Ovis aries: one gene and its partners. The protein of the gene in region 2 binds, or shares a complex with, the protein of the main gene of each other region. Links are inferred from orthologs where the notes say so. Each region holds a gene or a part of one and is shown on either strand. Other genes may lie near its edges.

Region 1 (4,485 bases), on a different chromosome or scaffold from region 2:
ACTCATGTCCATCGAATCGGTGATGCCATCCAACCATCTCATCCTCTGTCGTCCCCTTCTCCTCCCACCGTCAATCTTTCCCAGCCTAAGAGTCTTTTCTAGTGACACAGTTCTTCGCATTAGGTGGCCAAAGTATTGGAGTTTCAGTTTCAGCCTCAGTTCTTCCAATGAATATTCAGCACTGATTATAGTCTAGATCATATATTGTCCAAAATTACTCCAATCATTAATTTACTTTGATAACAACAAAAGATTCAACTTAAGTATAATTTTCAAATATTTTTTCATTCAAAGAACACATTTTAACATGTACTTTGAAAGTCTGGCAAGAAAAGCAATGTGGCTAGGTGGGTGGGAGGAGCAACAAGACCTGAGCTCAGAAGTGAAGACTAATAAGAGACACGGGCCTTCCTTCTTTAATGATCTGTTTGATGTTGGGTCACAACCTCTCAGATCTGTTTCTTCATTTCTAAAATGAAAACAGTAGTGTATATATCAGGGCTCAGTGGTAAAGAATTCACCTGCTGATGCAGGAGCTGCAGGTTCGATTCCCGGGTCAGAATCCCCTACAGAAGGAAATGGCAACCCACTCCAGTATTCTTGCCAGGATAATCCCATGGACAGGAGAACCTCGCAGGCTACAGTTCATGGGGTCGAAGAGTCAGACACGACTGAGTGAGCACACATGCAAAGTGTACATATCTCCCTTGGACTGTTTTGACAATGAATGTACATGAAATCACTTTGAAATGTCACAAGGGAAGCCCCTGAAATATCAAAGTGCAATAAAAACGTTAAGTTAAAACTTAACTCTAGGATTTCATTCTCCCTTGTGCACAAGAAAAGCAATTTACCCATTTTTGTCGCCTGACTTATAGCACAGTTTCAGTGATCAACTAATCTATTTAACAAATGTAGTAAAAGTGCACTTAAGTAAAATATTAAAAAGTTTGTGTAGTTTAAAAGGCCTGTGAGCAGCCATTCAGCAATTATTTTTCTATAAAGAGAAAAGGAATAGATTCTGAAGCTTAGGTACAACTTTTTAAATGGCATTGATTACAGTCACATGTCCAAAACCTAACAATCAATGATAAATTACAGTGGACAGTAAAGAATAACTTTACAATGTGCAACTGGGAAAAAATTACTCAGTATAGCCAAATGGTGTATTCTGACAGTTTATAGACTTGTACTATTCTCCTGTATTTCCAGTGATTCTTAGTGCTGTAATTTATCTTTAACACAATAATCTTGGGGGAAAAAAATCACTTATAACGCTGTGTGTTAGTCATTCAGTCGTGCTCGACTCTTTGCGAGCCCATGGGCTGTAGCCCGCCAGGCTCCTCTGTGCACGGAATTCTCCAGGCAAGACTACTGGAGGGGGTTGCCATTCCCTTCTCCAGGAGATCTTCCCAACCCAGGGATCCAGCCCGGCTGGGTCTCCTGTACTGTGGGCAGACAGCATTCTCAGCTTTCAGTATTTGTTCTATGCCTGGCTGCTTTTTTAAAAAACTGAAGTGTGAACAAACTATATGTATTATGTTGCAGCCTGTGTTTGCCTTCGACAATATTCCTGAGTCAACATTCTCACACATGATGTTGGAAGCCTTGAAACTAGCCTATCACACAGATACAGCAACGTACTAATCTTAGGAGTTTGGGTAGAACGTTAATACTTTACGTATTTCGGACACTCCCAAAGCCCAAGAGGTCAAAACCCTTCTATTTATCCACACATGTCTGTTACTGATTTGACTTACTTTTTCAAAAAATAACTTCCAATTTTTAGACATAAAATATGGGAAACCTGTTAACAAGTGATAAAGCAGAAATTATACTGCTCTTTTGTATTGAATCTACTTTGCTTCTGAATTGTACTTGGGAAAAGAGCTCACTACTAGATGGAAAAAAAAACCCCTAGAAATCACTGAGGAGGGATAATTTGCTGGAAAACAAGTTAATAGTAATGCTTTATACTCCAACATATGTTCCTATAATCGTAGAAATAATTTCTATATCCATATACCGTGTATTTGTCATTTGTTTTTCAGGATTCCTCCTTAATTTCTGCCTATCTTTCTTCACCTTTAAGTCATCAACATCTACCCTATAACAAAGAAACTATGCTTCTTTTTCAATAAAAAAATTTTGTTGAGATGGAAAATATTAAAAGCCAAAAATGTACACAATTTTAAAACCTCGATTCTTTGTGGTGTTGCACGGAAAAAATTATATCTGCCCTCCATGACAAATACAACTCCCACTGATTTAAGAAAACACTCAGTCCGAACAGTCATCCGGAAAGTATTAAAAAAAATTTTTTTTTACTAGGAGAGTTTGTGTCTGAACCGTCAAGAAACGACAACAAAAAAAAGAAGCCCTTAACTGCTGAGGAAATGTAAGACTTTCCCAACCTGTCACCGGCACGGGGAACTAAGGGAAACGTTGACAGCTTTGAAGCTGCCCGCGACGGGAGCTCGGCCAGCCGCGGGGGGCGGGAAAGCGGGGCGCGGGGAGTTTTCGGGCCGCGGCGCGCCTTTGTCCCTGGCGGCAGGTGCGGCGAGGCTGCCGGGCCTGTCCCGAAGCCCCGCCGCCGGGCCCCGCCCCGCGCTCCCGGCCCGACCGGCGCGTCCCCACCATCGGGGCGGGGCCTCCGCCGCTGCTCCCGCCCGCCCGGGCCCACACAAAGGCCCGGCAGTCGGCCGAGAGGAAGCGGCCCCGCCCGCCCCGGGCCCGGCCTTACCCAGCCGCTCCGCCGCCTGCAGCCCCGGCCGCCGACAGCCGCGCCCCGCCCCGTGGAAGCCACGGCTGCTGCTATTGCTCCTCCGGCCGCGGCCGCTGCCGTCGCTCCAGCACCCGCCGCCCTCACCGCCCTCACCCCTCCCGGTACCGCCGCAAAACCAGTTCCGCGGCCGTCGAGCGAACCCGGCTCCGCACGACACTGCGTGCGCGCGCACACGGGCTAGTGGCGGCGTGCTTTACGGCAGCGGCGTGAGTGCGTGACGCTCGGCGGAGGCCTCAGTTGGCACGTGGCGCCTGCAGGGGCACGTTGTACCTGGGAGTGCTGGTGTAACTTCGGGCGCAGGCCTTTCGGCTTCCACTATGAAGCGGCCGAGTGAGTGTGGTCAGGGGGCGGGCGTGGAGGGGGCGTTTGTGTCTGATAGTCGACCAACCCACCAGGGTGCTCCGTCTCCCTGATCCCGCCTAGAACCGAGGGTTGGAAGGCCCCACGTGAGCAGCGCGGTCTTGTGTGCGGAAAGAAAGTCTGGGCCCCAAGGATGGAGATCAGGCCAGAGAGTCATGAGGACCCAGTGTCTGAGCCAGGTTTCGGGCCTGGCGTTTTCCCTTGTGCGGCCTCGTTCGGTCTGGCTCTGGTGAGGTCTGAAAACACGCACTGTTAGATTTTCTTCTGTGGTTCGTGCTGTTTGACAGGAAGTGGCAGTTCTGGGGTTATATGCTCCTGTGTACGATCCCAGTCTAATTTAGAAAGGTGGAAGTAGGGAAGCTGGATCTACAACGAATCTGTTAAGTTAGACTCTGGGACTTGGCTGGTCCGTGATTATTTTTACCACGCGCCCCACAATATTATTAAATTATGTTTCAGAGCCAGTTAATGCAAAAATGGATGTGACCTAAAGCGCGGTCATCAAAAGCTAAACTAGCTGATCATTTGTGGATAAAATCGATTTTGAAAAACAATAAATTAATCCTTTTGTGATCTGTTGCTTTGTAGAATTAAAGAAAGCAAGTAAACGCATGACCTGCCACAAGCGGTATAAAATCCAAAAAAAGGTAAGTCTTGGAAGAGTTATGAAACTTAAAGTTGCTCAGTCGTGCCCGACTCTTTATGAGGTCAGGGACTATATGCTCCGTAGAATTCTCCAGGCCAGAATACTGGAGTGGTAGCCTTTCCCTTCTCCAGGTGATCTTCCCAACCCAGGGATCAAACCCAGGTCTCCCACATTACAGGCGGATTCTTTACCAGCTGAGCCACAAGGGAAGCCCAAGAATGCTGGAGTGGGTAGCCTAGCCCTTCTCCAGCGGATCTTCCCAATCCAGGAATCAAACCCGGGTCTCCTGCATCGAAAGTGGATTCTTTACCAACTGAGTTACCAGGGAAGCCTGGAAGAGGCTAAATTGATTTCCTGCCCCAGAGATGTGGGTTAACATTAGTATGATTTCACTAGTGGAGGTTTAACTAGAATAGAGGTCAGATATACCTGGTCAGGAGGTCCGATATGGTGCAAGCTCTTAGGGAGCAGAAATAATTCAGTGACATGTCTGTAAATTTTGATCACCATAGTAGCAATTGCTGCAAAAAGAGTCCTGGTGACATTTTCTTGCTGTTTTATACATAAACATGCATGTTCTGTTTTATGGTTAAAGTTCTATGATTCTAGGTTATTTCACAGATATAACTTAAACTACAGCCACATTGGCTACTCACTGGAATTCTCTTTATTATTTCTGTAAACTGACGAAATA
Region 2 (4,518 bases):
CCCAGAGGCCCTGGTGAAATATGCCTGGACCTCAGTTTCTTCACTGGCAGAACGTTCTCAAGGGATATTCACCCAATACACAGAGTCCCTCCCACTCTCCCACATCAGATAAACAGTGGGGACGGAGAGCTGGTCTACGGTTACCTCCCAATGTTTTGAGGACCCACAAGAGAGGCAAAGGTGTATAAATAAATTATGTGTTTTAAAAAAATAAATACGTGTTTATGTTGGAGTGCTTTTCACTGACAGGAAGTCTGGAACCACTGCACTGCCCTGCACCAAAGCTATGATGAGGTCACCCCACGATGAACACCCCCCCAAAAAACACCTGCAAAATCAACATCTCCTGAAGGGCTGGCGTGTGCGCTCAATCACGTCCGACTCTGTGACCCCATGGACTATAGCCCACCAGGCTCCTCTGTCAATGGGATTCTCCAAGCAAGAACACTGGAGTGGGCTGCCAAGCCCTCCTCCAGGTCCCGAATCCATGTCTCCTAGGTCTCTTGCATTGGCAGGGGGATTCTTTACCACTGCGCCACCTGGGAAGCCCCCTGAAGGGTTGGGCACAAATGATTTCAAGTGGCATGAGGAGGAACACTTATTATTTTCATAATCGTATATGTATTGAGTTTAAAGAAAATTAGGAAAATGTATATAACCAGCACATCAAACCTGGGGTTTCTGGGATACAGAATGACTCATGTTTTCAGTTTTCTGAACAGTTAATTTACAAATACATACGTATGAACAAAACCACCTCCGAAAAATTGAGAGCTCATTACATGCCAGACTCTAGAGAGTGTTAAACCACTTCCCATACTATCTTTCCAACCCTCACAACAATTCTTTGAGCTGGCACCACTGTCTTATCTGTTTCTCAAGTTGGGGGACCTACTGGTAAGTGTCCTGCTTGAGGTCAAACTAGAATTTAGAGCTGACTGTGAATCCAGGAGGTCTAATTCCAGAACTAGCACTCCATAACACCACCTCCTATTAACTACTACCCCACACCCTTACTGTTGAGGGAATGAGGTTTGGGGAAAATGGCCTGGAAAGCTTTAGAAAAAAATTAAAAAAGAAAGCAAAACACAGCGCCAGCAACTAATATTTATTGTCTGCAACTCGCCCTCAAGTCCTGGGCCAAGCACTTCACACACAGGGCTACTCAATCCTCAAGAGTACCCTCCTCCTTCATCCACAAATGTTCCCTAAGGGCCTACTACACACTGGGCCAGGGTACACTAAAAGAGATTACACAGACAGCTCTGATGGCCCTTGGAGAAGAGATGTGTAATTACAAACAGGAGTAACTCCTAACACAAGAAAGGATCAAGATGACCATGTGCAAAAGCAGCAGAGGGGAGCAATGACTGGTCCCAAGTGGTCCAACACAACCTGGGGGTCCTCCCTAACCCTGAGTAAAAGCCCCCTCTTCCATGCAGCTACCTGATCTCTGGTTCCCACCACTGGCACCAATCTGCTGTGCTCCTCACACATGACAGGCCTCTAGTTGTTCCCACACTTACCACCTGTTCCCCTACAAGACTGAACAGGCTGCTCTGGGCACCCAACCTCCAACTACCAAACACCCAGCTGGGGCTCAACAAGTATGTGTTGAACAAGAATGGAAGAGACTGGACTGAACAACAACGATAGTGCTTCCCTCTTGACAGGAACCATTTTACAGGCTTTCACCGGCTCCATCTGTGCCATTATTCTCATTTCACATATGAGGACACTGAGAAGTTCCAAAAGATTAAGCTATTTGCCTCCTGTCACACAGCGAAGTGACCAGCAACAGCCAGGAGTCAAACTTGAATCAGGCCTGTCATTTAAAAGTGAAAACTTGTTTCAAATTCTTAGGAAGTGGCTCTCACTGCTTATTCCCTACTTTCCCCAATGATTCACTAGGGGGGGAAAATATCAAGACTAGTGTCTTCAAGACCTTCACAAAATACCTTCTCCTGAAAGATTCGCGTTTTAAATAAAAACCTTAATCTGGAAAATCGATTGGCAGAAAGGGGTAAGGACGCAAAACTAAAACAATGCTTTTAACGGCAAACAGTTCTCTCCGTCCTTCCCCACTGCTGCCGACCCCCGGCTTCAGGGCAAACGTTCTCAAGTCACTACTTGCAAGGGGTTAGCAGAGTTATTTACCTTTCCTTGAAAATCTAAAACGACGTGACTTTTAAAAAAATAACCATTCAGGTCGGCTAACCCAGGGGGGCTGCTAATGTTCGTGTCCGGGCGACGCTGGACACACCTGGGGTTTTTCCTACTGAGCTCCGACTGCAGGCTCGCCAAAAGGCAACATTCGAGTCGGACCCGTTAGAACGTAACCAGAAAAGCCCGGACGTCTGGCTATTGTTGCAGCCCCGGCGGACACCGGGATGTGGGCCCCTGGACCGCCGACGGGGCAACGCGCTTTGTCCAGCGACCCCGGCGAGAGCGCGCGCGGGGGGCGCGCGGCCTCCACGCGGCCCTGGCCCCCACCCCGCCGTCCCGCGGATACTGTAGTCGCCGAGGCCTCGCTGCCTGTGGCCTTCCCCGCGCGCGCGGTGCCGGTCAGGCTTCTTGACCCTCGGGCGCCGCCGTACCCCGGCCCGGCTCCGGGCGCCGGCGGCCCCCTCCCCCCTCGGCGCCCCGGCTCCATTCAAACCGTCCTCCCAAGCCCCGCGCCGCGCTCCCCCCGCGACCCACGTTCCTTACCGGGAGTCGCCGGCGCCGTCGCCTTCCCGGCGCCGCCCCCGCCCCTCCACGCGGGGCCGGGGGCAGAATGGGCTTCTCGCTTCTCCTCACGAAACAAAGAAGCAGCCGCCGCAGCCGCCGAGCGAGGGTAAGCCTCGCGCGCGCGCCCGCCTGCCTCAGCCGCCCCCCCACGCTGCCCGCGCCCCCGCTGCGCGCGCACTCGCCACCTCCCCTCCCCCCACCACGAACTCCCACTCGCTTCCGCTGCTGGCCCGTCCTCGTGCGCGTGCCCGCCCGCCCTTCCGCTCCTAGGGCGCGTGCGCGTCTCGCCGGGGTTGTCTGGGAGAGGTGGGTGGGGCCAGAGAGAGCTAGAGCGCCCGACGCGCCTCCCGACTCTGTGTGGGACGGTCATGCGCCTGCGCGCGGTGGTCTCCGTTCCCGCACGCCGCGCGTCTCAAAGCCGCCGAGCATGCGCAGAGCAGGCGGCACTGCGGCGGTGGTGGAGGTGGAGGTGGCAGCGGGAGGTTGGGGGATGGGGTGGGTGGTGGAGAGGTCTGCGGGGAAAGCGTGGCCGAGGGCCCCTGAGACTCAGAAGTGAGGCTTCCAAGGTCGTGCATGAAGGCAGGAGGCGGACAGGCTGGGGCCGGGGATGAGCAGAGCCGGCCCCTGGGCCAAGTGCAGGTCGATGTTCGGATGATGGCGGTGCCCGTTCGGCAAAGCCTGTTACGCAAAGACCGTGGCTATCTTTTCCGCACAACTTACCTAGGGCTATTAGTTTAGCAGATAATCTATTGACCTGCCCCACACTGAGGTACTGTAGTACCGAAGAGAAATCTCAGCCTCTGTGGCGCTCATGGTTTAGTGGGAGAGGCAGGCGCGAGGCAAGAAAACTTAAGTAAAATACACTGTGTTGAAATGGACACGTGAAGGGTCGGGGAAGTTTTAAATGGGGCAGCTAGGGAAAGCCTCTCTGCGAAGACATTTGAGTCAAGACATAAAAGCAGTGAGAGAGAGAGAGCTTTGTTCCAAGTGTGAAGGCCCAGAGACTAGGAGGCTTCATCTCTTAAATTTTGAGAGTATCTCTTGAGTCTGTATTCGTTGTTTCTAGCCCCACAACTGGACAAACGGTTCCCAGGGCCAAGTCCTGGAGCCTGTGACTCCCTACCCCTGCTTCTCTCAGGCCTTCCCCCTCATTTTTCAGGTCTCAGCTGACTCATCACCTCCCCTGGCCTTGCCCCCTCTTTGATCACCACCTCCTTTTCTTTCACATTTCTTGGGTAACCCCTTTAGTATCTGTCTCCCTAACCTCAATTTAAGTGGCGCAGTGTTGTCAATTTTAGTCCCTAGTGAAGAATACCCAATATCTAGTGTGGGGCCACCCTCTGCAACACACTAGACACCTTAAAAATATTCTTTTTTAATTGAAAATATATTAGCTTCTATGGAGTGTGTATCACCAGCACTTTGGGCCTTTCCAAGCCCAAGGTGAGGCCCTTAGAGCATAAAGCAGCAGCTAATATCTTGGCCTGAAGCCAAAAAGACCTGCGTTGAAAACCTGACTCTCCTTAGTACCTGGGGGATGCCAGGCAAGTTTACAGAAGTTTACACTTCTGTTTCTTCACCTGTAAAGTGAAAACAGTGACACCACTCATCTCCACAGGGTTGGTTATGAGGCATCCATGAAAACAGGCCATGGAGAAGCTCTCGGTGACTTAGCTTGTGACGTTGGGTAATGGACAGGAAATGGGCAAGTGAGGTCTAGACTTCGGCCTGTCTCATTCATTCAAGCAATATTTCTAAAGTGCCTTCAACATCTTAAACGCTGAGCAG
Region 3 (4,571 bases), on a different chromosome or scaffold from region 2:
TCGTAAAGTAAAAGACTTGCAAGAATGTCTACTCTCTCCCACCCCACAAAGACCCTCATAAAGGGGGATTCCCTTTAAACTAAATGTTAAGAAGTACAAAGAGAAGAGAAGGCATCTCACCATCCCTGGTCACTCTTGAATTTGTAGGCAGCTGCAAGTATGTGGCACAGGGAGCCTCCTGCTTTGAAATCTAGGAAACATTTGATCTACAAAATTGAGACAGGGAAGAAGTATATGAGAATTACATCCTAAATTCTCTTATGATTTAACAATCCTTTCACAAAATCTTATGCTGAACTGATCTCCCTCTCAAAGCTGGAATTCTTTAACCCCTGTGCCATTCTATCTTGTAGCCTAGAAGAGGGGAGAGAAAGAAACCAATATCTACAAAGCCCCACCATGTCCCTTGCTGGATTCCCTTTACTGGGTTTCCTCGTTAATCATTACAGGTAATACCTACAACATAGGTATATTAATCCCATCGAGAGATAAAGGAACCAAGACTCAAAAGGCATAAATGACTTGTCCAAGATGACAGAGACACCAAGTGGTAGAGCAAGGATTTGAACACAAGAGTGTGCAAATCCAAATCTCACGTTCTCACCATGCCATGAGTTTCATGACTGAGTTTCAATACTCGAGATAACCTGTTGCATGAACTATTACTAGGACAAAGGGGATGGTAAACTGGGGGCTCTGCCAAGCCAGTAACACCCCAACCAGGGAAAGGGATGGTAGGAAGTCACCCAAACCTCAAAAACTAGAAGATTTACAAAAACACAAGAGACAACTCCTTCTTGGATTTGCCCCCTTGCTTTTTGCACTTACCGGCAGTTTAGTGAGCGGTGCATTGCTGACATGTTTGCCAAAAACTTCTTCCTGAAATTGTAGCAACTGTACAACCAGGCTAGACAGGGACTTGTTGGTGGGTGGTTCGGCTTGTATATACTGGGGAAATAGGGAAAAGGAGAGAAAAACAGACCCCAAATCAATTTTCCACCATCTCCCTTCTTTCTTTCCCAGAAGCTCTGGAAGCATCTGGAATACAAATAGTGTCTTCTTCCCCCACATGCCTAATCTCTTAGAAAGAAAACGGCAGAAGGAAGGCCTGAGGTGCCCCTCACCAAGAAGATGACATTCAGCTTCCTACTGCCAGTCTTGGGTGCTGGCAATATAGGCAGCTTCCTACTCTCCCTCAACTACACCCTAAAAATGGAGCTGCAGGATCCAGATCTTTAGCCAATGGCACCTAGAGTTGTAAAATTATGAAGATTCATAGGGATCAGGCCACAGAAGCAACATCTGGAATGCTCTAAGGGAGACAGCAGTCTACTTCTTTGAGTAATGGTGTGGAAGGTCAAGATTCCCCCTATAATATAGCCTGATAAGAAAGGTGCAAAGAAGCAATATAGGGCACATGTCTTCACATGCCCTCCTAGAAGGGAAAAAAGACAGCTACTGCCCAGCCAGGTGGAAATAGCAAGCCAGTATCTACCCTTCTTGAGGAGACTGTACTGGACACAGGCAAGCCTGGGGCTTCTTAAATATTTCCATATTATGCGACCTAGCACCCTAGCCTTCAGTTCTCGTGTAAAACTGTGCAAAGAAGCTAACTTTATCTTTTGATCCCCTTTTCCTCAACCCCGACCATAGAAAAAAGCGCACCTTTTGGTGGGAGGTGTAAAGAGATCCTTGAAAGAAAAGGTAAATGACAGAGCTAAGAGCTTGACAGCTGAACTAGGTCACAGGCTGTCAATTCCCCCAGGGCCAGACACTAAGCCCCTAGACTGATCTCCTGTCCAAAAGGTCAAAGGTAGAAGCCTGGGAGCCAGAGCCTCAGGCTGGTGTAGAGAGGAGCCACAGACCCAGCAGCTGTTGGTCAAGCTCTGACACCCAGACAGACCTCTGAGAACAGAGCCAGACTCATAACCAGGATCAGAGGGGCGTTCTCCACCAGCCCATCACACTTCTGACAGGTTGCAGAGCTGAGCAGGAAGAACTGGGGAGCTGAAGGAAAGTCTGAGAACCTCTTATTGGGGGCAGTGAGAAGGAAGAGACCCAGACCCTCTCCAGAGAAAAGCCCTATGCAGAGATGTTCCTTTCAACCAGGCCTAAAGACAAAGACATCACCAGGAAGAGGTCTGGTATAAACGACAGGTAAGGCTTGAACCCTTTGTTCATTACCTTATTATCTCCTGTTACGGGATGGGGGACTCCAGACACAAACTGCATCCTAGTCTCTGAACCCCAAACCCAAGGCAATGCAAGGCCAGGTGGTGGGGTGATTTCATTGTGAAGTTGAGCAATGGTTTTAAAAGGGGTAGCTGCCCAGGAACTCCTATACCCTGACTCCCAAAGAGGTTCTGTTACCCCTTGTACGGAGATGGGGGCGGGCGGTAGACAGGTGATCCCGGGGTGGGGGCCTTTTTCAGGCTGGTGAGCAGTCGAGGGCCTGCTCTGGGGCTGTTTATCCTCTGGCTTTCATCATCTTTCTCTGAACATACACAAAGCACCGGCGAGGCCTCAGCCCTGCTGGTACCTGGCTCCGTGGGGAGCTCTGGCGGGCACCGTGGCGGGCACGCTCGGGTCGGGGGGGGTGGGCATTCGGCACCCATCCACCCCCGACCGTCCCTCCCGGAAAAGCCCGGAAGGCGATGGCTTACGGAGGGTGGGCAGCTGGCACCGGGACCCGCCGGACGAGTGGAGAAAAACAAGGGGCAGAGGGCGCAGCAGTGGGGGCGGGGGCTGGAACCAGAGGCGGGGGTGGGGGGGGTTGTTAAAAGAGGCTGGGGGAGGGGCGCGGGGCGGCGGAGGGCGCGCTGGGGCCGCTCCGGGCGCCGCGGGGGAGGGGCCGCGGGCCGCGGGAGGGTGGGCAGGAGCTGGGGGTGGGGGGAGCCGCGGGGCCTCGGTCCCTTTGTCCCGCCCCCGGCCCCCGCGCGGCCCTGCCCGCGTACCTTCTTGTAGTTCTTGCCGAGCCACAGCCGCACGTTGTCGAACTGGGTCACGGTGTCCGCGGCCTCGTAGTACTTCACGTTGGGGCCGCCGTCCTTCTTCCGCACCGCCATCTTCTCGGGCTCGGGCTCGGGCCCCGCCGCCGCCCGCCCCGCTCAGCTCAGCTCCCGCCTCCTCCGCCTCCTCCTCCGCCCGCCTCCCGCCGCCTCCCGCCGCCGCGGCCGCCGCCTCCCGCCGCCTAGGCCGGCCCCGGCCCGCGCAGCGCCCCCTGCCGGTCGGCCGGACGCGGTGGCGGCGGAGCGCCTGGCGCGGGGCGGACCCTGGCGGCCTCCCTGGCGGCGGCGGCGGCCGCGGCCGGAGCTCTGGGGAGGAAGCTGCTTCCTGGAGGGGGCGCACACTCCCCAGAGATCGCCATTTGCTGACCTGAAGTCTTTTCTTGCCTCTCAGCCGGTGGAGTGGGGTACCTCTCTATCCTACCCCAGGGGGATGCCGGTCGCCTGAGGAGCCCCCAGCCCAGACCTCAGTGGTCCTCACCTTGCACATTTCTTAACCCCACAAAGCCCCTAATCCCGAGGAGCCCTGGACCCGTTTCCGCAAGAAGTTTCTTCCTGTCATCCATCCCCAGGAGTGCCCCGTTTAAACTCCTGAGCCTCCCTCGCCCCTAACGCCTTGTCCCAGGTCTCACTCCGCAACCCGAGGAGTCCCCTAGCCGCCACCCCGGGGACCCAGCCCCTCCTCTCCAACTGCTTTCCTCTGCAGGCCTCGCCAATGCCTCCTAAACAGCTTTGCGCTCCTTGAGACCCTCATCTTCGTAGGGCGGGAGACCCTTCCTCTTTGGGTCACCCGATCCACCCGACTCTCTTCCTTTGAGCGGCGTGAAGGCAGAGGTAAGGAGCGGAATGTGAGGAGGTCACAGGCTGTGTGTTTGGGCTTGGCCCAGCTTCCCGTTGCCACCACTCGCTCCGGGTCGTTGTACAGACCCTTTCTGTAAGTGCTCGGTGACAGGCGGTCTTGGAAGTCACGGTGGCCGAGTGGTTAAGGCGTTGGACTCGAAATCCAATGGGGTTTCCCCGCACAGGTTCGAATCCTGTTCGTGACGGCCGCTTTTTTTCAGGGTGTGTGTGAAGGAAACTTCTTGACTTCCACGTGTGTTTCGTGCCTTTCCCTTTCTGTATCGGAAACAGAAGCCAAAAGGTCTCACCCCTGGATCTGGGGGAAGAAGGGGGCTGAGGGTGACAAGAAGCGTTTAATGATGTACAACTGTATTGTCTGCTAGGATAACAAAGCACTTAGAGAATTCTGTAACTTCAGGTTTGCAAGCAGAGTTTCGACGTACCTTGTTTCATTCTTTCGGGAGGGTGTAGCCAAAGATTTGGTTCAAGAACGGTTAAGTGTTGTTCAGGAATGTGAATGCTAGTTGTGCTTTTAATAGTAAAAACTGGAGTTTCCAGATAAAGAGGGCACCTCTGAATTTAATGACCAGACGTCACATCTTGTAGGTCTCTGTACCGTGAAGATCCTAGAAACAAGGCGTTCTCTCACTGGGATTTCCCTCAGGTGCTACGTCTCAGGGATCACAGAGCTTGTGGGGAATGATCTATTGAAACATCAACACTGCC
Region 4 (3,306 bases), on a different chromosome or scaffold from region 2:
ACGTGTTTTCTTTTAATAAAGCATCAAAATTCCTGTGAAAGGGATATGCTCAATAAGACGCTTCAGCCCCACTTCGATTAGTCAGGTGACTAGATGGTTGCAGTGGTTTAGGTTTTACTCGAGAGACTCAAATGAATTAGTGTGTTGGCTTTAGAGAGTTGCTAAAAGCAAGTCTAAATGTAGTCATTTCTCCACACTTGCCTGACCGAGAACTAAAGCCCCCTGTCTACACCGGAAGTAGAGACGGCGCCTGCTGGCCAACAGGATTTCCTGGAAGGCGGGTGGTGTCCCGATACCGGTTAATGATGGTTCTCAACTCAGCTGCGCCTTATCTCCTCAGGTTGTAATTTTATCGTCTTGGGCCCCTATGGAAATTCTTTCGTTATTAAATAACTGCCCTGCTACCCATGGTACACCAGAAAGGATACAGATTAGGAAAATTTCATGAAAATAATAGTAACTTTTAGATTAATGGAATAATAGTTAAGTATTTCTAATTAAGCTGCATAATGTTACCACTGAATTTCTGGAGAGAGCCAAAAAGAGTGAAGTCACTCAGTCATGTCCGACTCTGCGACCCCCACGGACTGTAGCCTATCAGGCTCCTCTGTCCATGGAATTCTCCAGGCAAGAATACTGGAGTGGGTTGCCATTTCCTTCTCCAGGAGATCTTCCAGACCCAGGGATTGAAACCGGGTCTCCCACATTGCAGGCAGACGCTTTGCCATCTGAGCCACCAGGGAAGTCAGAGAGAACCAAAGTACTGAGAAATCAAGGCTTTTTGCAGGATGGGACTATTTTTCTGCTTGGTTTCCAGGGTGAGAGCGGCTTATGAGTAAATATTGCAGATTTTAAGCATGTAGTTTCAAAATCTTTTATTGGCATAAAAATGAGAACATTGTAAATAAATTGGCACCAAATACATCATTTAAATGCATATTACAGTATTGGGGTCAAGAAAACTATCCCTCTTTGCTGTTTTTCCCCCTTCTGCCCACTTTCCTGGGTGTTGGGGGTGCTCGCTGACAACAGTCACAAATCCAGCGACCTAGGAGAAAAATTGTTAGTTAATACAGGATGAGACTTAACTTTTTAGGACTGAGTTTTAAAACCATTTAGCTCTCCTCCCTTAGCTAAGGCTACTGATACTCCTCACTGGGTTTCTGGTGGCGCTGGCACTAACTTCCCTTAAGGTCGTCAGTGTCATAACCGCCCTGTGAAATGCACACGGGGAGGGAAGGGGTCCTGGAGGAGCTAAATAATGACAGGCCCCTTGAAAAAGGTACAATCTTTTCTGAAATTCAGACACTACCATACTTTAAACATTCAATCGCACAAGTCATTATGTAAAACCTATTAACTGACTGTGGCTTATTTCTATGCATCTCAGCATCCCCTCAAGTCCTGGTCTACAATGCTCACATAGCACTTTAAAATGTATCAAATATTTGATAGCATTATGATAGACTATACGACATACTTGACCTGAATTACTATAAAACTCTAAATAATTATTTAAGTTGCTTACATCTCAATGACTCCCAGGAAACCTAGGCATATCTTTTATAAAATATCAGACAGTGTTAACTATGCAAATCAGTTCTAAAATTACGCAATTATGTGTATAAAGTTTTAGTCCAATTACTGTGACTTATTCTTTGATTCTGTGTTCATTCTGAAGTTATCTGGAATTGTTATGTTGCCTCAATTTACATAAATCTGGTTTAATATGTATAAAGGCATATAAGTCATTTTGTTAAATTTCTAAATGACGTATAAAAATAAAATCAAGGCTTTGAAACAAATCGCTGCTACTGCCTTAGCTATTTCAGTAGAACAACACGAGCTCGTCTGCACACACTGAGCTCTACTTCCAGAACTTACAGGCCATCTGCTGTCTCACTTGTCCTTAATCAGCTGCTCTAGCGATGAGAAACAGGTGCCCGCGACCACAGCTTTGGCCACTTCTCGTGAGTGGAGAGGGCACGTCTCTCCAGGCCCTCCGTGTCATCATGGTATTTATGCAGCCTCCAAAGAAAGGAAGTGCTGGAAGAGCCCCTTCACTCAGAGATAACGTTCCTCCTTCTCAATCTTTACCTGATGGGATAGCACCAAGGCCCACACAGAAAGTATGATAACCTCTGTCACACACGTCACAGAACATCATTTCTTCTTCGTGGTGGGGCTGTCCACATACAATGCAAGCCTTACACTCCATACACTGCCATGGGTAGGTCTTAATCATGGAAACAAGCTCCGCGGGCATGTCCAGGCAAGAAGGGTGGCCTAAACCAAAACCAGGATTAGTTGCATTCCACACGAGATTCTAACTTACATGGCACAGTAAAATGCTAGTTTGCTTGAACTTCTCGGGAATGGCTACATCGGTTTAACTGCCAAAGAGAAATGGGAACACAAGGCAGAAGACAAGACAGGCTTGACGTCTCTGACGACTGGGTCAAGCCTAGCTGACAACTGAGCCCTAGCGCGAAGCAGCGACCAGAGCTTAAAGCGTGAAGCCGTGTCAGTACTTACCGCTGTTGCCACACTGGGAGCAGTGTACAAGTGGCTCAGCCTTCCCTCTCTTGCTGGACTCCTTACCCTTCAGACAAATCCCACACAGAGCATTTGGAATGACCTTTGGCTGGAAGGGTAGAAGAGGGCTATAAATTCATGCCAGAAGAACCTACTATGGGTTCAAAAGGAATTATTACTGTATCGCCTTATTTTACTTCCAGTAACTTGTTAATGAGGACCTAACTTGCTAGCAAGGACCTTGAAAGACATAGCCTGACACCACTCTGCCTTCAACATACGACAGCCTACCAGCGAAAGCCTTGGGCTTCAGATTTAAATTTTGTCAAAGGCATGATCTCATGTTAGGATTAGATATATCATTCCACACTCCCTACATACCAGTAAGATCTGTACAATGACCTGGAGGGAAGACTAATACACTGTCAACCTGCACTGTTAACCGAAAGAAAAACGCAGCTGCCAAGAGACTACTGCAGGGGACTTAGGCTTATTCCCAAACAGATGACTCCACTGTAGGCAGCTTACATGCCGATTTTGTTTAAAAGCTGATGTGCTCCAAAGCTGTGAGACTACATCTATAAAATCTAAGTTACAAAATCAGTTTTTAGCACTGTGAACCGAAAGAGGCTTCAGGCATACGCTGCTGTGTGCAGAAAGGCTTGTGGGAAGCCGAGCTGTGTGACTTGTTCCCTCTGAATATCTCATACATTAACAGAGGAGCTGTGACTAGTAAAACATGAAGCAGTTCTCAGATGTGCAAAATATAAA
Region 5 (3,954 bases), on a different chromosome or scaffold from region 2:
CACCCCCTCCCCTAGCAATCAAACAAACCGTCTGCATAGAAAACCAGAACCAGTGGGCCAGGGCAAGGAGTGGATCTCTTCTAAAGCTTGTGCTCTCCCCTACCAGGGATGAAAGGGGGTGTTCTGCCAGGCAGGCTGGAGGCTCTCATGGTCCTCACTAAGGATAACATTGGGGGGGGTCACTTTTCCCCATCTCTTTAAATTTTGGTGCGTCCATGTGTGGCAAAAGTCTCATGAAACTTCACCATCAGCACCATTCTTAGCTCAGATAAGCAGAAATAAGGTCACTTACAATGCCTTAAGGTTTGTCCCCTCTGGCTATCCCCTCTGCCCATCAATATTTTTTGGTTCCTATTAACTTAGGATGCTCTCCTTTAAAGCAATAATGACCAAAAGGAAAAAAAAAGAAAAGTGATAATGATTATAAAGCATTATCCATATAAGCATAAGACAAAGCAAAAACAGAACAAAACTGCAGGAGAGCAAAAAATGATACAGACATAGACCACTAACGTTGACAGGACCTGCAGACACACTGTCAGCATACCCCACAGCGGGTCAGGGAGACGCCAGGTATTTCAGGGCGACCAGGGCACACTGGCAGCAGTGGCTTCCCCTTGAGTGCTGGAGGAGGACTAACACAGCAGGTGTCAGAGCACGGAGAGGGGTGGCAAGAGGAATGGGGAAAAGTCAGGGTGCGTGCTTGGGGCTGTGAGAAGAAAACTCCTGAAAGAAACCCAAGGAAGCGGAGGAACACAAGTCTTGTCATCCCCACTCCAGCTGGGGGCACTGGGCGCGGACGTCCCCTGTGTCTTTCGGGCTACGGTGCAGCTGAGGCTGGTGGGCCAGGAGCGGGAGGTGGAGGGCCTCCGTCCGCAGGTGCTGGAGGTGGTGGCTGCTGCTGCGGCGGAGGGGGATCTGCAAACACATCCAAAAGGAACTTGTCATTGCCGGAAACACAAGGGGCCTGGGCAAGAGCCCATGCAGAGAAACAGGACTTATAAAGGAAGTTTCTTTATGGCCTGTGAGGCACGGCTGCTGCTGAGGGCTACATGGGGCGGTCCACCTGAACCTCCACGTCACCACCTGTGTGGCTCCCCTGACCCACGCGGCTCGGGGGTGCGGAGGTGTCTGAGTCCGCCCCACTCTCAATCCCTCCAGACCTTTGCAGAACTTAATTATATTTTGATTTTATCATTATCTTAATGGTTCTCACTGCTAATTCTCTCTCTTCAGTTAAATGATAAGCTCCTTCCTGGACAAGTTCTGTGTCTTCTTTGCGTTCTCTCAGAGTGCCTAGCCTAGCTGGGGACGAAACTGCCTATCAGAAACTGCTGGCTTTTATGAACTGTCTCCACCAGGGTCACAGAGATTGACTTGAGGCAGCGGCCAACAAGCTGGATAGCCTGGAGAGGCCCCGCAACTCCTGAACTGTAGTCTTTAAATTTTTGGCCAAAACTAGGTCAGGTCCTGAAGGGAACAATTAGGAAAGGAGCTCTTTCCTATTTCTACTTTGACTGCTTTAGTGTACAAAGCAACCATAGAGATACTTCAATCCAGGGTTTTAAAAACTTCAAGATTTTGCCAGGGATGAAAACGAATTAAACAATTAAAGCACCTCCTTGCTTACCAGCTAATTCATCCAACCTTCCCCTCAGGAGGTGTCCACCCAATTGCTAAGGCTCTTCAAAGCGTTTTGAAGCCCACCGATTTACTCCCTAGTGTCACCTTTCAGGGGAGCAAAGTAAGGCCTGAAGAGGGAAGTGACTTGCCTGATGAGGCCTGCCCAATGCCCTGAAGCCAAATCAGCAGCTCAGGATCCCTGAAATTCATCTGGGGCAGGAAGTGATGGGGAGCACCCCAAACATTCCACACCCTCAAGGTACTGCACTGAGGGCCCTTCAGGATGGAATCATGTATACAAATCAGGTGTTATCAGCAGGACAGGACAGTGGTAAAGACCAATGATATTATGTTTGCAACGGGGATGGCAGCGTGGTCAACCCTCCCAGTCAGCCAGCACATTTTTACACTGCCTGTGGGGCAGCAAGGCTAGGAAAAGAGGTACGCACTAGACTATGATCTCTGATCCTTGATGTAACAACAAAGATCGCTTAAAAAAAAAAGTTTTTTTTATTTATTTGGTTGTACCGGATCATTAGCTGCAGGATCATGCATTAGTTGCATGCAGGATCATTAGTTGCAGCATGTGGGATCTAGTTCCCTGACCAGGGATCAAACCCGGGCCCCGTGCACTGGGAGCGCAGTATTAGCCACTGGACCACCAAGGAAGTCCCTCGTTTCTCAACAATGATCCTGTACTGACCTGGCTCAAGTGCTGTCTTTCTTCTGTGCACCTAAATCTGTCCTTGTTCCTAGGAGTCCAATGAGAAAGGAGATGCACCTGTGTTGATGGCACTTGTCTCCTGGCCCTAGGAAGTCTCCCAGAGAACTATAGTGAGCTCAAGCCACTCAATAGCCTTGTGTAACTTACGGTAAATCCTACACTACTATCCATTTGTTCATGTTTTATTTTCCCAACTAAAGCTCCTGGAGGCCAGGAATACCTCTGCATCCTAGCTCTCTGTATTGTATTATAAATTCATTATTATTACTTTATGTTTTTGTATTATAAATACATTATCATTTTATTATAAGCTGTATTACTATAAACAAACAGGGGCTGACTCCACCTCATGAGAACCCAGGTCCTCCTCTAAAAGGACCTGGGATCACAGATGTGGCGGGGTACATGGCCACTGTCAGCTGCATTTTGGAATCATTACCATGGTCCACAGGGTAAGAGGGCAGGCCAGGCTCTGATGCACCCCTTTGGAGGCCAGGGTTGGAGCAGAACAAGGGTTCCATGGCAAAACCGAGCTGGTTTTGCACACTGCCACAGACACTGTTCATCAGCATATGTGCCCGCTCGATGGAGCCCGCTAAGACTTCAAACTCCTTCTCAACACAGCCCTGAATACTCTTTTCTAAGTCTAAGCAGCCACTACCAATATATTGGACAAAAACTTATTATTATTCTTGCCCTAAACCAGACTCTATTCTTTTCTTTACACTTACCTCTTTTAAATCCTGAATCCATAAAAGGCTCCTGTACAGAAAATAACTACCAGTAGTTCTGTGTATCGACTCAGATTCAAATTAGATAGCCTCAAACAGGCATGGGTGAGGTGTGCCCTTGGCCTTGCCAGAGCCCTTGGTGTCACGAATGCATCCACGAAGGCTATGGAAGGCTCCTGACTAACTGGGAGCACTCTGTGCTCACCACCTGGGTACCTGTCCACCAGGGATGCTGAAGCGCAATGACCAAAGCCCAGGTTTCAGAAGCGCCCCTCACAGGCCATCCTGTCCAGGGATCTGTCACACCCCAGAGGGAACAAACGGTGCTTGCCTCCCTTGTGTACAGCTCTCCCCAAAAGTCCCGAGGGTAGTGCCTCCCCCCACCTGGGTACTTACACATGCCGTTAGGTGCCGTGAGGGGTACCCGGGGTCCTAAGATGTTTCCTGGGATTGGAGGCATACCAGGAGGGGTGGGGCCACTCCCAGGGGGGTGGATGCTGGCTGCAACGGTGGGCATCATGCGGCCTGGCATGGGCTGCCCAGGCATCATGGAACCTGGGCCTGGTATCTGACCTGTGGAGGGAGAGTCAGAGTACTAAGGTAAGGAAGACAGGAATCAACTCACTGCCCGAGAGTGCTAAATACAGATAGACATCTAACCTCCAAAAGGATTGAAAGATCGACAGAACAATAATCTGGAATAATCTGTCTAGCTTTTAATTCAGGGTGGGGTCGGGGACATGGAGGGATGGCATGGAGGGAGGCAGCTCTGTGGCGTCGACGACTACCCTAAACCCTGGTATAGGCAGGTAGTTTTAAGATGCTTTTACCAAAAAAAATCCTAACAGAAAGCATTCACTCTGGTGAGTTTGGGTG
Region 6 (3,954 bases), on a different chromosome or scaffold from region 2:
CAACTTCCCACCCCAGAAGCTCCTTGGAGACGCTCACCTGCCATTCCCTTATACTCTCTGGCTCTCTATTTTTAGCTGTTCACAGGCAGGCCAGTGTGAACGCAGTTTTCAGAAGAAGCAGGGGTCAATGTCGGAGCCTCTGTTTTCTCTATATATGTCCAGTCCATCTGCCAGTGGTGCCATGTCATCCAGATAAAGCTGTTTTTGTTCTGGCTGCTTATTACCTGTGATTCATTTTTCCTCTAGAGTCAGAATTTTCTCTGTTCAGACTCGCTTTTTTCTGTGTAAAGGTTTGGCTTAACTTGCATCATTTCCCTTGGGAAAAAGAGGTGGGCAAGCCAATGACCCTATACACGTTATAGGCTGCTTCTTCGGGGTTCTGTTGCTACCGCAACTTGTTTAATAGACACCTACCTTGCCATTTCCTAAGATACACTCAGAAGACATTTTTGTTTTTTTCCCATTGCTTTTGTGGGTTCCTTGTTTATGGGACTTTGTTTTGGGGAATTTCTTCTGGTTTTTTCTAACATGACGTCTCATCTCTCTTTTCCAGTCAGCCTTGTCCAAATATGATGCCACCAAACAAAAGAGGAAGTTTTCTTCTTTTTTTAAATCCTTGGTGATCGAACTGGACAAAGACCTGTATGGACCAGACAACCATCTGGTGGAAGTGAGTAGTTCTGTCCTCTAGACTTTGGCTTTATCAGTAGTGGATGATGGCCTTGGGAGCTAAACTTCAATGTCTAGGGAGAGGGGCGTGGGTACCTCCAATGCAGTTTGCACATTGGCCTCCAGGTGGCACTAGATGTTTGGTTTTGGTACTGTTTGGACCCAAGAGTTCTTATAGTCTGACTTGTCCCACCTTTTAAATTTAATTATCTTGATTGCTGCCCCCACTCTCAAGAGAAAGTCTAATGGAGGCTTTTTATACATGCCAGGAATGGTGAGATGTAGCTCTCCACATGCCATTCATCTTTTTTCCTGGTAACAAGTGCTGTGTTTAAGGGGTTCATTAATAGGATTTAGTCCTTACCAAGGCTACTTCTTCTCTTTTTGGAGAAGGCAATGGCACCCCACTCCAGTACTCTTGCCTGGAAAATCCCATAGACGGAGGAGCCTGGTGGGCTGCAGTCCGTGGGGTTGCTAAGAGTCAGACACAACTGAGTGGCTTCACTTTCACTTTTCACTTTCATGCATTGGAGAAGGAAATGGCAACCCACTCCAGTGTTCTTGCCTGGAGAATCCCAGGGACGGGGGAGCCTGGTGGGCTGCCATCTACGGGGTCGCACAGAGTCGGACACAACTGAAGCGACTTAGCAGCAGCAGCAGCGAGGCTACTTTTACAGATCTGCTGCTTGCTTTTGGTTCTTGCTTTGTTTAGATTCACATTCCAAATCATCAAAAATTCTTTATTATAATGCCTGATTACATAGTGTTCTAAAGACCTTGTTAGCAGCAGTGTTCTTTGTGATACAGTCAAAACAAGAATGAGATAGTCGAGCACTCCAAGTGAACTTAACCTGCTCCTTTCTTTGCCAGTGTAGCCGCAGCCCCTTAACCTCAACCACTAAGAAACATGGGAAGGTCTTTACCATCTAATAAGGGAAGTAAGTCATAGAATCAATAGAAATTTGTAAATATATTTAACTTTATAGCAGTAGAGCATAGTGCCTGAGAATGTGGACTGTGGACTCCAACACACCAGAGCTCAGATAACAGCTCCACCACTTATTGGCTGTTGACCTTGGGCAGCTTGCTTCATTCTTGTAAGCATTAGTTTTCTCATCTGTAAAATAGGTTTAATCATGCCTTTCTCATATGGATGTTGTGGGGATTCAATATGATAATCCAAGTACATGTCCTAGAATACTTTGGCACATAGTAAGTACTCAGTAGATGATAGCTATGTTATTTTACTGTACAAGTGTATATTATCCATTTTATGGATAAAATTATCACTGAAAATACAGGCTAATTTAAATGTGACCCTGAGCAGTCAGAATTAAAATGTCTGTCTCCTTATAGACAGGAATCCCAAAGTCATATGCGGTTTTTTAAAATGTCTCATGGTGTTGCTCTTCTCCAGTAGCCTCATTAATCAAAGTTGAAAATTCAGTCATTACAGAAGCTCTTCCCTCCCACCCCAGCTCTTCCTCTGGGAGAGCACCCCCTGACATCTTCCTCTCTGTAGTGGCACAGGACCGCCACTACCCAGGAGACGGACGGCTTCCAGGTGAAGCGGCCAGGAGACGTGAATGTGCGGTGCACTGTCCTGCTGATGCTGGACTACCAGGTATCTGCTGCCCTGAGGAGGCCCAGCTTTCAGCCCCATCCCATCAGCAGTCTGACATTTAAAGGCAGTTTAAGTCCAGTTCAGGGAATTTGCCATCAGACCGTTAGCTCCCTGGATATCTTTAAGGGATAGGGTCTTAGTCATTTCTGAGTTCCTCTTCGTGTTTTTCTGCTCCAGAGAAAGCACAACATGCATGCCTGTTGAATGGCATGAATGTGTGGCCACACCAAGTGCCCCATAATAGCACATAGACTCAGCTCACTAGCTTCACCTCTGCACCCTCGTTCTCTCCAGCCTCCTCAGTTTAAATTAGACCCTCGTCTGGCTCGGCTCCTGGGCATCCACACCCAGACCCGTCCGGTGATCATTCAAGCACTGTGGCAGTATATTAAGACACACAAGCTCCAGGACCCACATGAGCGGGAGTTTGTCATTTGTGACAAGTACCTCCAGCAGGTGAGAAAAGTTTCCACTCTTTTCTCAAGTCCACTGCAGCACCAGTTGTACTCTTAGCTGCTTCTCCTCTTTCCCACAGATCTTTGAGTCTCAACGTATGAAGTTTTCAGAGATTCCCCAACGGCTCCATGCCTTGCTTATGCCACCTGAGCCCATCATCATTAATCATGTCATCAGGTAAGCATGTGTACGCAAGGCAGTGTGTGCTGGAGCTGGCTTGTACCACCTGCGCAAGTCAGTTCTCAGAATTTTTAGGAAATTTATAAGCAGGTTGTTAAACACAGTCATTATTTAGGATTATATAAACTTGCGATTAAATACATTATATAAAAAATAAGTGTAAATGTACTCAGAAGGTCATCATATCTGAGTTGTTATATTGGTTTACCGGTGTTTGGGCTTCCCTGGTGGCTCAGATGGTAAAGAATCTGCCTGCAATGCAGGAGACCCAGGTTCAATCCCTGAGTCAGGAAAATACCTGGAGAAGAGAATGGCAACCCACTCCAGTATTCTTGCCTGGAGAATTCCATGGACAGAGGAGCCGGGCTGGTTACAGTCCGTGGAGTCTCAAAGAGTCAGACACGACTGAGCAACTGACATACACATACTGGTGTGTGTTTTTGAAGTTACTTCTGTCTCTTGTGTCTGTGTGGTGGAAATACTGTCTAATGATGTGTTACTGCACATCCCTTCCCAATTCCTCGATGAGTGATATAATGTCAGCATCTTGAAATCAACCGTGTGGAGAATATTTAAAACACAGAAATTAGCAAATGCTCCAAGTCAGGGTTTTTTCTTACCGTTCTTTTTCTCTTTTGGAGAATCAGTTATTAGAATTTATCAGCTCATCACTGATGAACTCCTGTCTTTTCTCTGGGTGGTAGGACATTCCAGTCTGAGACTCCAACTCCCATTACCTCTGTCTGCTTTTCTGTTCAGAAGATGGATGAACAAGGCATGTTTAGGCAGATAGTGAAAGAAGGCACTTTCTCCTCAGAGCACCATGCCTTCTGGCTCTACATAGTCTTTGCCTTCTTTCCCTTACTCCATATTAACTCCAGTAAAGCTGTCCTTTCGCTAGACCCTGAACCATCATCACTCAGCTGATAGTAATTCCTACAACCCATACGCTGGGTCAGTAGAAGCTAGTTTGTCCTATATTCATGTGGTTAAATTTAGGCCACGTTTTATTTTGTGTGGTGTGT
Region 7 (3,954 bases), on a different chromosome or scaffold from region 2:
GAGGCTGGCTGGCTGATCTTGCGATGCCAGCCTGGAGCCCTGGTCACTGAAAGCTGCTGTGAGGAGCCCGTGAGAAGCAGCCCTTCCTCCCTGCTCTCCCGCGCTCTCCCCGGGGCCTCCCAGCGGCCCCAAGAGGAGGGAGCGCTTGTCCCGTGAGCAGAGGCGGAGGCCCACAGAGGACACCACGCAGCCACGAAGCGCCGCGGGGTGCAGGGCGCCGCCCCAGCCACAACAGTGGGCTGAGGAAGGGACCGACTTCTCTGCTTTCGCTTCTGCTCCTAGTCAGCGAGAGCCTGGCTTCAACCCAGCATTCATCCAAGAGCGAGAGCCTCTTGCGTGGCGCCAAGGCCTCCAGCCATGGACCCCACCTCCCACCCAGCTGCTGCCGCCACGGTGCTCAACCACCTGGGGTCTGAGCCATGCCGTCACGCAGGGAGAGCGCTGGCTCTACACGTCACGGGCCTCCTGGGCGCTGGTCCACAGGACACGCAAGGCCAGGCCAGACAGGCCACAGGCAGGCGGGGTGCTGCTGCGGAGGGTCCAGGAGAGGCCCTCTGAGCTCCGAAAGGAGCAGCCTGCTGGCCAATTGCCACAGAGACTGCCTCCCAGACGGGACATTTCTCACAGGGAGGAGGCTGGTGGCAGAGACATCAGGTAAGGGGCTTCAGGATGAGACAGCCTGGGTCCCAGTCCCAGTCCTGCCACAGATGGGCCATGTGAACCCGGGCAAGCTAACCAGTCTACATCTCAGCACCCGCTCTTTAAGAACATCAGTAGTAACTGTCTGCCCTACCTTGAGTGACGGGATCAAACGACTCAGTACCCCATCCGAGAGTGCTCTGGAGGAGACGGTCTGGCAGAGTCCCCCGGATGTCAGTGCGGCCCTGGGCACCCCAGGTCCCCAGCTGTGGCTGTACGGGGACCCACAGTGAGACCTATGCCCCAGCGAGACTGTCTGGGGTCAGGGTGGGCAGAGCAGATGGCTGGGCCCCGCAGCACACGGCCGGCTTTGTGTCCTGGAATCGCCACTTAGGGCTCAGCCAGCACCGGGGGAGAGGATGGCTCGGAAGGCCCAGAAGGGACGGGGCTGCCAAGGCTGCGGGCGCTGCGGGCATGTGGCTGCGGCTCCGACTCTGCAAGGAGAGCTGGGGCTGCGCCCTGCGGACGAGGCCAGTCCCGCGGCCCGTCACCTCTCCTGATTCAGCACAGGCGGAGCCGCCGTGAGCTCGGCGTGCCCCTGCACACCTTCCCTGCGAGCGTCACTCCACGGCCGCCACCCACACTGCCTCTGCTGGGGCCTGGGCTCTGCCCGCGGGAGCCAGGCTGCCGCAGGCTCCGGCGGGCTGGCGCCTGGGCGGGCCCATCACTGAGGGGCGCTCTGCTGCCTCTCTGAGCTGGGGCCTGCTTACTGGTGGTCCTCCAGTTGGTTTTCCCACGTCCTAAGGTTACCAGGCGGGATGGGGTAGAAGAGAGGACCGCCAGGACTCCCGGCAGCTGAGCCGCTGGGACACGGGAGGCAACGCCCTGCTGGCTCGCGTCACTCAGGTGGGCCAAGGCTGGGGAGCACGGAGACACGCCCTCGGCCGGCAGCGCCGTGGGGGGCGGTGGGGGGCCAGAGACACTCACGGGCTCCGTCCTGCCCGGTGTCAGGGGCCCGAGGGCGAGCGAGGGCGGGGAGGAGGGGCGGCGCGGCCCACCTGCTTCATCTCCTGCGGGGTGTACAGCATGGTCCGGATGATCATCACTCGGTCCAGAAGGTCGAGAGGGATGCCGTGAGGAGAGGTGACGTCCTCCGTGCCCCTGCAAGGCCGACAAGGTCCAGGTCACTCGGGCCTCTCTGGACAGTGGAACCATGGCCGAGGCCCCGGTGATAACAAAGCAGCTAGTTCTCGTCCTGAGAGTCAGAAGCAGGACCGCGAGGACAGACTCACTCGGGTGGCATCAGAAACCACGCCATTGTTTCTGCGAGTATCACCACCACGGGGAGTCGGGGGAGGAGGAGAAGGCCAACTGCAGCCGCGGCGAGGCTGTTCACAGCGGCATCTGCCACCCCCGCGCGCCACCCTAAGTGTGCAGATCCGTTTGGGCCGCTCCTGTCCCTGTTGTTTCAGTATAAACAGCCCATGACGAGTCTCACTGGACCCAAACTACAGGGCATTCACGTAGTGGTCCCTAGTGTTACTGTTATAACTAACGGTGTCTTAGGCATAACTGCCATGAACACTTCCTCAGCATCTCTCACAGAGCCGGACACAACCCTGAACATCTCCCTAAACACATGGACGGCTGAACCAAGGAATGTGCTCACGTCTGCAGCCGCGCGAGCGATCTGGCCCCCCGACACTGTGGCCAGCGCTGAGCAGCCTCACAGTTTGCTGCCTAAAGTTCTAGGAAAAGGAAGGCCTAGCACCGCATCTGACTCTGCGCGTCCTTGATTATTCATGAATCGTCTGAAGGCCTTCCCTCGTGTCCATCAGTTATTTATTTCTTTTGGGGAACTGTCCCATCATAACTTTTGCCTGTCTCTCTCTCGAATCCTTAGCCAAACCAGTGACTGGCCACCCCACCGGGTTGAACAGCACCAGCTCCCAGCGGGCTGTGTCCCAGGCAGACCCTGCGGCACGTGTTAGGCTTCAGCCGCGTCTGGAAGCCCAGCGAGCTGAGCCGGGGGCTCCTGCCTCCACTTGAGCAGGCCACAGCAGCAGGCCCCCAGTTCTGGCCTCCCCAACACTTAAAAGTAACTAAAGCGGCAAACTATGTTCTATGCATTTTACCACAATGAAAAAATAAAATAATAAAATGCTACATTAATCATTGCTAAATCTAATACTTAAAAATAATTAAGACCTTTTCAAACAAAAAAGGAAACAGACTAGTAGCAAATGCAAAATGTTAAGAAGCCACTAGAAAAAAATGAATCTTTTTCACCAACAAATATTTCTAAAAAAAATAAAGAATTGTAAGGAAAAAATTCTGTCATGATTAAACTCAGTATTTGGTATACCTGTAATCGTCATATTAAACAAAATAACCTCTAAAACCTCATTTAATCTTCAGTTATTTGATTCTGTGTAGGCTGTATTTTTCTCTTTCTACTTAGATATTCTCCTGGGAAAGTTTAAACGATCTCAATCCGCCATCTTGAAACATCCCCACTTCTATAACACTCATGATAAATTATCTTCATTTCAGAGACAGTGAATATAAAAGTCTAAAGAAAAAAAAATGGGAAAAAAACACGAAGGAACAGAATTTGTCAACATGTGTTAAAATCTTCTTTTGGTTTTAAGTCCATAAAACTAAAAATTTTAACAGAAAACAAAAACAAAAACTCTGCTTAAGAAATACTAAGCACTTCTCAGGAATTAAAGACCAAAGACTGTGGAAATGTGTTCAAGCTCGGACTCTGAGGCACAAAATTTCTTTCAGACAACGTATTAGAGAAAATGGTTTCTGGAACACACATCCTTCTGGATGGGGCTGGGGCCAAGTTCCCCAGGCCCCACTGGGTGGGTTCTGAGGTCACGGCCACCCTCCCGTGCCTCTTTTTTCCCTAGACGGCAGGAGGCGAAGAGGACTCTGACCCTGAGAGCTCTCGGCCGGGGTGGGCTCTGGCCGCGGGGCTCCCTCAGCAGGGGGCGCCAGCTGTCCAGGCTGGGCCCCTCTGCCCACTGTCACCCTGAAGCCAGGCCCCACCAAAGCGAGCCCAGAAAACATACGCGGCGCCTGTGTGGCCGGACACCGGGCTCTCCAGGCCAGGTGCCGTTTCCAGATGCTGCCCGGGGAGCCAGGCCCTGGCTGGCCTGGACCTGGTCCAAGCTGCCGTCCCTTCAAGACCAGAAGACAGCGGTGACGGTGACGAGCGGTGTTCTTGACAAGACAGCATTACAGGGATTCAAAGAGGGGCTGCACGAAGCTGCCGCCTGCACGTGCCGCGCGCACACAGACCCTCAC

The links.
Region 1: SMARCA4 (region 2) and PBRM1 share a complex: the UniProt entries of both Homo sapiens proteins name them as parts of the SWI/SNF-B (PBAF) chromatin remodeling complex. The link is inferred for Ovis aries from reciprocal best matches to the Homo sapiens genes SMARCA4 and PBRM1.
Region 3: SMARCA4 (region 2) and SMARCC2 share a complex: the UniProt entries of both Homo sapiens proteins name them as parts of the BAF complex. The link is inferred for Ovis aries from reciprocal best matches to the Homo sapiens genes SMARCA4 and SMARCC2.
Region 4: SMARCA4 (region 2) and PHF10 share a complex: the UniProt entries of both Homo sapiens proteins name them as parts of the neural progenitors-specific chromatin remodeling complex. The link is inferred for Ovis aries from reciprocal best matches to the Homo sapiens genes SMARCA4 and PHF10.
Region 5: SMARCA4 (region 2) and SMARCC1 share a complex: the UniProt entries of both Homo sapiens proteins name them as parts of the BAF complex. The link is inferred for Ovis aries from reciprocal best matches to the Homo sapiens genes SMARCA4 and SMARCC1.
Region 6: SMARCA4 (region 2) and SMARCD1 share a complex: the UniProt entries of both Homo sapiens proteins name them as parts of the BAF complex. The link is inferred for Ovis aries from reciprocal best matches to the Homo sapiens genes SMARCA4 and SMARCD1.
Region 7: SMARCA4 (region 2) and RUVBL1 share a complex: the UniProt entries of both Homo sapiens proteins name them as parts of the BAF53 complex. The link is inferred for Ovis aries from reciprocal best matches to the Homo sapiens genes SMARCA4 and RUVBL1.

The regions. Positions count from the first base shown.
Region 1 is NC_056072.1:48,263,847-48,268,331, reverse strand, and holds the start of PBRM1 (protein polybromo-1), read right to left. Parts: upstream 2,903-4,485; 5' UTR 2,744-2,902; intron 1-2,743. Other genes in the region: GNL3 (guanine nucleotide-binding protein-like 3), read left to right, coding at 3,103-3,115, 3,734-3,792. UniProt on the Homo sapiens protein: Involved in transcriptional activation and repression of select genes by chromatin remodeling (alteration of DNA-nucleosome topology). Required for the stability of the SWI/SNF chromatin remodeling complex SWI/SNF-B (PBAF).
Region 2 is NC_056058.1:13,255,319-13,259,836, reverse strand, and holds the start of SMARCA4 (transcription activator BRG1), read right to left. Parts: upstream 2,999-4,518; 5' UTR 2,710-2,998; exon of another isoform or gene 2,638-2,709; intron 2,568-2,637; exon of another isoform or gene 2,513-2,567; intron 1-2,512. UniProt on the Homo sapiens protein: ATPase involved in transcriptional activation and repression of select genes by chromatin remodeling (alteration of DNA-nucleosome topology).
Region 3 is NC_056056.1:163,357,025-163,361,595, reverse strand, and holds the start of SMARCC2 (SWI/SNF complex subunit SMARCC2), read right to left. Parts: upstream 3,091-4,571; 5' UTR 3,066-3,090; coding exon 2,955-3,065; intron 2,158-2,954; exon of another isoform or gene 1,860-2,157; intron 949-1,859; coding exon 829-948; intron 207-828; coding exon 121-206; intron 1-120. UniProt on the Homo sapiens protein: Involved in transcriptional activation and repression of select genes by chromatin remodeling (alteration of DNA-nucleosome topology).
Region 4 is NC_056061.1:91,165,628-91,168,933, forward strand, and holds the end of PHF10 (PHD finger protein 10), read right to left. Parts: intron 2,645-3,306; coding exon 2,536-2,644; intron 2,287-2,535; coding exon 2,098-2,286; intron 1,806-2,097; exon of another isoform or gene 1,049-1,805; coding exon 963-1,048; coding exon of another isoform or gene 929-962; 3' UTR 861-928; downstream 1-860. UniProt on the Homo sapiens protein: Involved in transcription activity regulation by chromatin remodeling. Belongs to the neural progenitors-specific chromatin remodeling complex (npBAF complex) and is required for the proliferation of neural progenitors.
Region 5 is NC_056072.1:52,089,912-52,093,865, reverse strand, and holds part of SMARCC1 (SWI/SNF complex subunit SMARCC1), read right to left. Parts: intron 3,652-3,954; coding exon 3,475-3,651; intron 919-3,474; coding exon 821-918; 3' UTR 1-820. UniProt on the Homo sapiens protein: Involved in transcriptional activation and repression of select genes by chromatin remodeling (alteration of DNA-nucleosome topology).
Region 6 is NC_056056.1:136,221,345-136,225,298, reverse strand, and holds part of SMARCD1 (SWI/SNF-related matrix-associated actin-dependent regulator of chromatin subfamily D member 1), read left to right. Parts: intron 1-553; coding exon 554-670; intron 671-2,191; coding exon 2,192-2,293; intron 2,294-2,587; coding exon 2,588-2,749; intron 2,750-2,828; coding exon 2,829-2,926; intron 2,927-3,954. UniProt on the Homo sapiens protein: Involved in transcriptional activation and repression of select genes by chromatin remodeling (alteration of DNA-nucleosome topology).
Region 7 is NC_056072.1:59,415,757-59,419,710, reverse strand, and holds part of RUVBL1 (ruvB-like 1), read right to left. Parts: intron 1,801-3,954; coding exon 1,698-1,800; intron 1-1,697. UniProt on the Homo sapiens protein: Possesses single-stranded DNA-stimulated ATPase and ATP-dependent DNA helicase (3' to 5') activity; hexamerization is thought to be critical for ATP hydrolysis and adjacent subunits in the ring-like structure contribute to the ATPase activity.